Arabidopsis thaliana: one gene and its partner. The protein of the gene in region 1 interacts with the protein of each later gene in a pairwise test. Each region holds a gene or a part of one and is shown on either strand. Other genes may lie near its edges.

Region 1 (3,758 bases):
GAAGGAGGCACTTCTCCTCAACTTGTTCAGCTCATCTCTTTGCATTCCCCACTCAAGCTTCCCATTTGGTGATCCCCAATCGGAGACATTAGAAGCTACTGGAGCTGGTTTGAAACTCAAGCTGCGTTTCGCAAACGCTGAGGATCTTGCATTCATCACTGCAGCTGCCATGGCTGCTGAAGATTCGAATCCATGAGGAGGAGGCTGCCTCACAGGTGAAGACGGATAGTGGTTCATCTGAGAATGCCTGCTTGGTGATTGAAGTTGCATCACAGAAGCTGAGTCATATGATCCGAAAGTCTCTTCGAGGTTGGATGGCTTGAGATCACCAAGTCTCCGGTTATCCAAACCGCGAAACCTAAGTTCCATCTCCATATCCATATCTCTAGCACTCAAAGTCGACTTCAATCTGCTACCATTAAGCTGCAACGGTGGTGGTGTAAGGCTATTAACTCTGTTCTGCCATAAACCACCATTTCTTGGAGACAAAGGAACACCATTAGCCATAGGAGAGTTCATTGGCGATGATCCCAGCGTCAAAGGAGACATAACAGACATCTCAGGAGACTGATTAGACGACCTTGGTGAAACCATTGCAGAACCAGTAGAAGCATTAACCGGTCTTAACTCATCCCGTCTATGAGCAAAGAAACAAACTCTCCTAGCACAACCAGTCTCATCTTTGCAAAGCCGTGTCCTATACTGCGCCGGGTGAAGCCAAGACTCGAAAACACCGTGCGCGTACTCACACGAATCTCCTTTAGGACAAGACCCTTTACGAAACTCGGGACAAGGCACACAAGTGTAAGGATACTTCCTAGGATCTCTCCTCCTTGCATTCTCACCAGGATGAACAAAAGGACATTCAGTCCAATCATGTGAATAAGCCCTAGAACATGGCTTAACCTTAAAGCTAAACATCCTAAAATCATCAGTTCCATAAACACCTTCGTTAATATCAGGAAGTGATGCATCAGCTGGATACTTAGTCACAACACTCTTCAGTTCCTCCTCCTCTTCTTCCATAACCGAACCATGAATCCCGGTCAGTAAAACCTCAACCGCCTTTCTACTCTGGTTAGGAACAAACCGAGAATCTTTAGCCAACAAATCAACCGGTTTGTTCCCATTAGCGTCAACACAATTAGGTGAAGCAGAAGCATCAAGCAAGATCTTGATGATCTCAACGATAGAAACAGAACAGCCAGAAACTGCACAGTGAAGAGCAGTGACTTTCTCGTCACTGCAAACTCTGTTCACATCGGATCTTCCTGTGGCAATTATGTAATTCAACACTTCCATGCTTCCATACATAGCAGCAACCATAAGTGGTGTTCTTTCTTCAAAACCCATCTTCTTAGACCCGACCCGTCTGCAATACCAAAACCCTGACTCATCAATCTCCACCGATGGATTCTCTTCGATCTCTCTCTTAAACGATGAAAGATCATCACAGGCGGCGAATTCGAGGAGACACGTGGCGGAAGCTCCGTCTTCTGATTTCTGCCTCATGAATTCGACTTCTGTTAGGGTTTTAGATGAGCAAAGGTTGCTCTTTGCACCGCACATATCTCTTCCTGTGATTCAAAAGTGAAAAACTTTTAGGAGAAAGCAACAAAGAATGAGAAAGAGCAACGCAAATTGAGTTCTTTCGATTCAAAGTTTCAATTTTTCATTTTCAAGATTCTTCTTTATACACAAAATCAATCCCCAATTTAAGCAAAGTAATGAATAATTACACGACCGTTTCGTCAAAATCAAGCCATTAAAACCATAAAGATTAAAGATTTAACCAAACCCAGAATCCTGAATGAAATAGGAAAAAACAGAGAGAGAAAGAATCAAGACATACCTAGAAAAGAAGATAACTTGGAGAAAAAGAGAGAAGTAAAGATTGAAACTTTGGAGGTTTTTGGGGAGAAGAAGTGGTTGGGGTTTTTGAAGAAGGATCAAATGAGAAAGGAGAGGCTCCTTTTAAAAGGAACTTGGTTTTTACGAAGAAGGAAAGAGGAAGGTACGCTCTTTCTTTCGTCTACCTTTCTCGGTCTTCTTCTTCCTTCTTTATATCATTTTTATTTTTTACTTATCTTTGTTTTGTTTTGTTTTTTGCTCTCTTTCTACATGGAAATGGTTTAGGTCAAAAGTCAAAACTGGGAAACTTTTAAAAAAGGTAAGGACGTCGTTGTTTTGCTGACTCTTATTCAATTGTTTTAGTGTATTTTTTTTGTCTTTTTTATAAAAAGAATATTATAATATCTATCTTCCTATCTCATTGATTTTTTCAATATGGCTTTTTAAAATGATCAAAAAGCAAAGTTCATTTGAAGGGAAATAAAACAATGCCCCCATTGTATCGACTTACATAAGAAAAAGTCTCATTCCGGATGTATTTATTGTTTCTAGATAACATCTTGTTTTTGGTTAAAGTTTCTAGATATAAGGATAATGTACCCATTTGGTTTATTTATAACCGAAACCATTGTTGGTTCTCTTTAGGACCTACTAAGTTCCTAATCAATTACTTTGTTTTAATTATACAAAGCAGAAAGAAAACTCAAAGGGAACTACTACCTTACCCATCCGGTAAACTCGTTTTAGGAGATCCATTTATACTCAAAAACCCTCATTAGAAAATAGCCCAAAATTTATATGTTGTTGATGTTACTATGCATTCTCTATATGGCTATAGATGTATGTGATATCAGATTATCTACATGCATTTAGCTGAATACATTACAGGAAATAGACTTACAATTACTAAATAGTTATGTATATCTATCTGGACAATTATAGGTCACATTTCAAAAGACATAATTTAAATTTTAACATCTGACCAAATCTACAGTTGTTTATATTTTACATCTGCATGCTGTTTTTCATATAAACGCATGGGTGCCCAAAACATGTATGGGCAAAGATCCTGAGATATTAAAAAATATTGTTTTTTTCCAAGTTCCAACAGGTCCTAAGGTATTAAAAACTATTTGTAACAAAATAAGATTAAAATAAAATTACTGTCAAAAATATTAAAAAGAAATTAAAAAAGAACATAATATTTTTTTTTTTCATCATCATCAAAAAAAAATTAAAAAAAAAAAAAAAAAAAAATATTATGTTCTTTTTCATCATCAAGAACATAATATATGAGGTTGAATAAATGGTAAATGACGTTGGGGATGTGTAAAAGACCCACCATCGATCAAATCGACCGACTTAGCAGGTAACCTCCACAAGCGTGTGAGTGTTTCAATACTCTTAACACGCGCTTTCATTATCACGTTGGCTACTCTTTTTTCTAAAGATCACTATAATTAACACACAACAATCTTAAATATATTTTACATGATCAATTAAAATATTTTTGGTTCGGTAGAACTACTATTCAAACAATACATACATACTTTAAAAGATTGGTACGAATCAAAATCTATTGGTAGTAAACAATTCGTAAATAGAGATCAACTTTATCTCAGTGTTCTTATTGATAAGCTTATCTTAATGGTCTTGTAGGTATAGTTGTAATGGAGTGATTAGGGTAAAGCGAGTGAGAAACACGGGCAAGGAGAAGTGCGTGGAGAAAGAGGGAAAGTGAGGCACGCCTTCTCTTCTTTGGTGTTTGGGTGGGCGACAGAGAATGTCTTCACTTGGCCGCCCGCTTACACTTTTTCCCCCATTTCCTTAATTGTTTGCTATCAAAAAATTAATGCAACACCTTTAACTTTTGCAAAAATATACTATAGTATATAGTATTAAATATT
Region 2 (3,758 bases), on another chromosome or scaffold:
CATGTGGGTGACATGAGGTCGATGAGACGCATAAGTAAGGGGCAATGAAATGAAAATATGTTTTTGCTTTGGAGAGAATAAAAAAATGCAATGGGTGTGAGAATATTAAAGAGTGGATGTTTGGACTTTCTGTTGCAGAATCTGTGCCTGAATCTTGCAACCTCATCAATATCGCATGTTGTTATTAAACTTCTGCATACTCCAAATAAATACAATGTAGTACATTATTCCTTTTAATTTGACTTCTCTATCGTTCTTTGTCGTTTCTTATATCCACATCATCGTCCCTGTTTTAACATATGTCACCTTCCTCTTCATATACGAAGCATGTTGTTACTCTCACTCCATACAATTTTTGGACATTAATGACGGAATCTGACATTTTCATATAAGATAAGAGTTAGTTAGAACTATAAAGTGGTACAAATGTTTTACACTTCAAATCAATTTTGGTAAAGGTGAGACAATTTGGCATCTACATAAATGAAAGCATTGATTTTAACCAACGAGTGGTATATATGTACGTGCTAATTAACACGGGGTAAGGAATGTTGCATGTGACTAAGGACAACAACATTTAATCTACAATTATTAACGCAACATAACTACATCGACAAGGACTCAAATCATCTCATAACTTTTGTTAACTAACTCAAGCCAGTCTTGTTCATGATCGATGATGATCACACCGTCCCCAACCCAAGAAAATCGAAAAATGGTGGTTTCTTCTCCTCATTGATTCTTTCAAATATCTCACTCTTCCCGGTTTGGTTTAAGAAATCGAATGTAGTTGCCTCTTGTGTCCATGCAATGTAATCGCCAACCATCATTTGGGTTTCGAACATATCCACCATTAATGGACTCTCATTTTCATGATCATAACCTAAATAGTACAAAAAATGGAAGAAAATTAAGAAATGATATGGAATTAAAAACTGAAAGAAAAGAGAACACAAAAACTCAAACCTGGGAAGCAAGGAACTGGTAACATAAGCTGCTTATGGTCACTACTAGCAAGGTGGGTCAAAGCTAACCGGGTAGGGTCAAAATCATTGAAAATGTGAGGATTAGGGTTAATGAGTGGCTTAAGAGAAACCATCGTCTTCCTCCTACGGTAAGAAGAAGATTGTTCCCTAAACTTGCGAGCCATTATAACATGCCAATGGTTCTTCACAGAATTATCAGTCCTACCAGGGAAAAGCCTCGCTATCATCGCCCATTTGTTACCATAAAGCCTATGAGCTTGCATTAGCCTCTCTTCTTCTTCCTCAGTGAAGGCTCTTCTATTTATCCTTGGGTCTAGTTGGTTAAACCATCGAAGCCTACAGCTTTTCCCTGCTCAACATTAACACCCAAAATCTCAAGAACGTGAATCTTGTAAAAGCTTAATCAAGTGACAGAATTAACGTACCGGATCTTCCTTGGAGCTTCTCAGCTATGAGGTTCCAGTTTTGTGGACCGTAGACGGCGACTAGTTCTTTGAGCTTAGTATCTTCAGCTGGTCTCCAATGTCCTCTAGACACCGAAGCTTTTGACGAGTGTCCACAGCTTCTATAGACTGTTGTGTCTTTCTTGTTGCAATTACTGTAATCACTTAGATTAGGGTTCATGTCTTCTTCTCTATGACTTGTGTAGTAGCTACGGAGATGTTGAGCATTGTCGATATTTAAAGAGAAGTAGTCCGATGAAGTGGTCTGATCCATCGAATGGTGTTGATCTTCCGACATGATACAATGTTGTTGTTGGTTATAGTGATGATGTGAGGACGAAGACAAAGAAGACGGGAAGCAAGGTGTTATGGAGAGAGACGCCACGTCAGCATGCACCATCTCCATCCTCATTGGAGGAGAAGAGCAAATATTAAATATGACTTTGAACATCATAATTGATATTTGTGTGATATTATTACGTATGGCTCTAAGCTATGTGCGTGTATGTATATGTTGTGACCTTGTTTTCTGACAAAATGCTGTTATACAACTGTTAAAAGGTTCATGGACTGTCACGGACTGATTTGAAAGCTGATATATATTTCTATACATTTGTATTTATGCATTGTAAATTGTTTTCAACACTCAGTTTAATTTACATTCTAGATATTTTAATTTAGGATTATTGTATAAATAGTATTATTATCTCTGGTTTAAGTTATAACCAAATAGCTATAATCTACATTTACAATAAAATCCAATAACATTTTCACAATAATTGTCACTACTTAATTTTGAAAAAACTAGGAATGTGGAAACGTATAGAGATGAAAGAAATAAATAAAAATGCTAGGACAGAGAAAGAGTAAAGGACAGGGAACACGTTTCCTACGTTGTGAGCAGTGGAGATGTGTTTGGAAAAGTGGAGAGAGATGAAAAGTTGTTAAACATCCGTAAACATCTTTTTTTTTAGTTCAACTGCTTTTGTTCTTTGTTGCCCCAAACAAAACATCATATTATTCTACGATTGCTTGCCAAACAAAATCTTGGTATTATCTTGTTTGAATTTCGAACTATGAATATGATCTTCTTCTTTTTCTTTTTTGTTCAAGTAACAAGGCGATTTCACCCCAAGTTTTAACTATTTTCCGCTTGATACATATGAATTAAGCGTTAGGTATTCTTGTCATTTAATACATTCATAGTGGTCACTGCTCATGCATTATCAAAGTTTTGAATTCTATCTCACAACCAATTTGAATTAACCACTAAACCATCACAAATTGGTTGTTTATTTGTTTTTCCTTTACAAAGAAACCTACAATTTACAGAATCTTTTTTTTTTAAAAAAATAATTAATGATTTTGTTGTTGTTGTTGGTTGCTACCGAAAATTGGAAATAGTAATGAGGATGAAACTAAACATCTGAAGTAGTCCCAACTATAACAGCCAAAAAGGCTCAAAGCATACATTTGATTTGACTCTTGCGTCTTTTATTTTCTAACCACAATTATATCTCTCACGCACACTTCACATGTCTTTTCACCAATCCCCATTTATCTCTCACTCTCGACATTTTGATGGTTTATATGAAACCCTCTTTCTACGTACATAGCCGGTCTCTTCATAATGTGAATGTTAATGATCTTCCCAAACGAGTCCGTTTTTCATATAGTCTTGACTACTTGTTGCCATATCAATTCTACCATTTACTGATTTTAAAATTAACTATCCAACCATATGTCGCAGAATTCGCTGTTATAAATCATTTTTTTAAGGGATCGGCTAGACTTATTAAGTTATTATCGTTAGAATTTCTGTCGCAATATGAATATTCATAACACCATAATGCAATTTTAAAAAAGAATGTAAAGTATTTCTTTTTTTATTATTAATTAATTGTGCAGCTATAAATGCATATACGAAACATATATTATCCCATATATACAAAGGAAATACCTAGGTTTGGTGAGACTTTAAGCATAACGTAGATGTATTTATTTGACCAAAAAGATATCAATTGGCAGAGGAATACATTATCTCAGATTCAGAGTATTTGCTGCAGACTTGTACGGTCCATCTGCAGAGATTAACTCAACATTTCCTATGGTCCTTTTTTCTTGGTCAATAACTTTGAATATATACTTTCTTAATTTACACTAAATTTGTGTCATACAGTAGATGTGAGAATGGATAGTTACTTTTTCAAAGATACGCACTAACAAAGTAACACTAACCATTAGCAGGTTAATTAAGGATATCTACACCCAACCCAATTACCTTCACTTTTATTTTGTTATCATTTGAAAAGAAAAAAAAGTATATGTT

The links. Proteins that work in one complex are often made in the same cells at the same time.
Region 2: the proteins of CZF1 (region 1) and MYB105 interact in a two-hybrid assay, tested with the Arabidopsis thaliana proteins (one large-scale study listed by BioGRID).

The regions. Positions count from the first base shown.
Region 1 is NC_003071.7:16,770,348-16,774,105, reverse strand, and holds the start of CZF1 (zinc finger (CCCH-type) family protein), read right to left. Parts: upstream 2,110-3,758; 5' UTR 1,853-2,109; intron 1,578-1,852; 5' UTR 1,570-1,577; coding exon 1-1,569. UniProt on the Arabidopsis thaliana protein: Involved in salt stress response. May positively modulate plant tolerance to salt stress.
Region 2 is NC_003070.9:26,155,832-26,159,589, reverse strand, and holds MYB105 (myb domain protein 105), read right to left. Parts: upstream 1,889-3,758; 5' UTR 1,884-1,888; coding exon 1,412-1,883; intron 1,336-1,411; coding exon 967-1,335; intron 884-966; coding exon 684-883; 3' UTR 496-683; downstream 1-495. UniProt on the Arabidopsis thaliana protein: Probable transcription factor that involved in boundary specification, meristem initiation and maintenance, and organ patterning. Functions in both lateral organ separation and axillary meristem formation.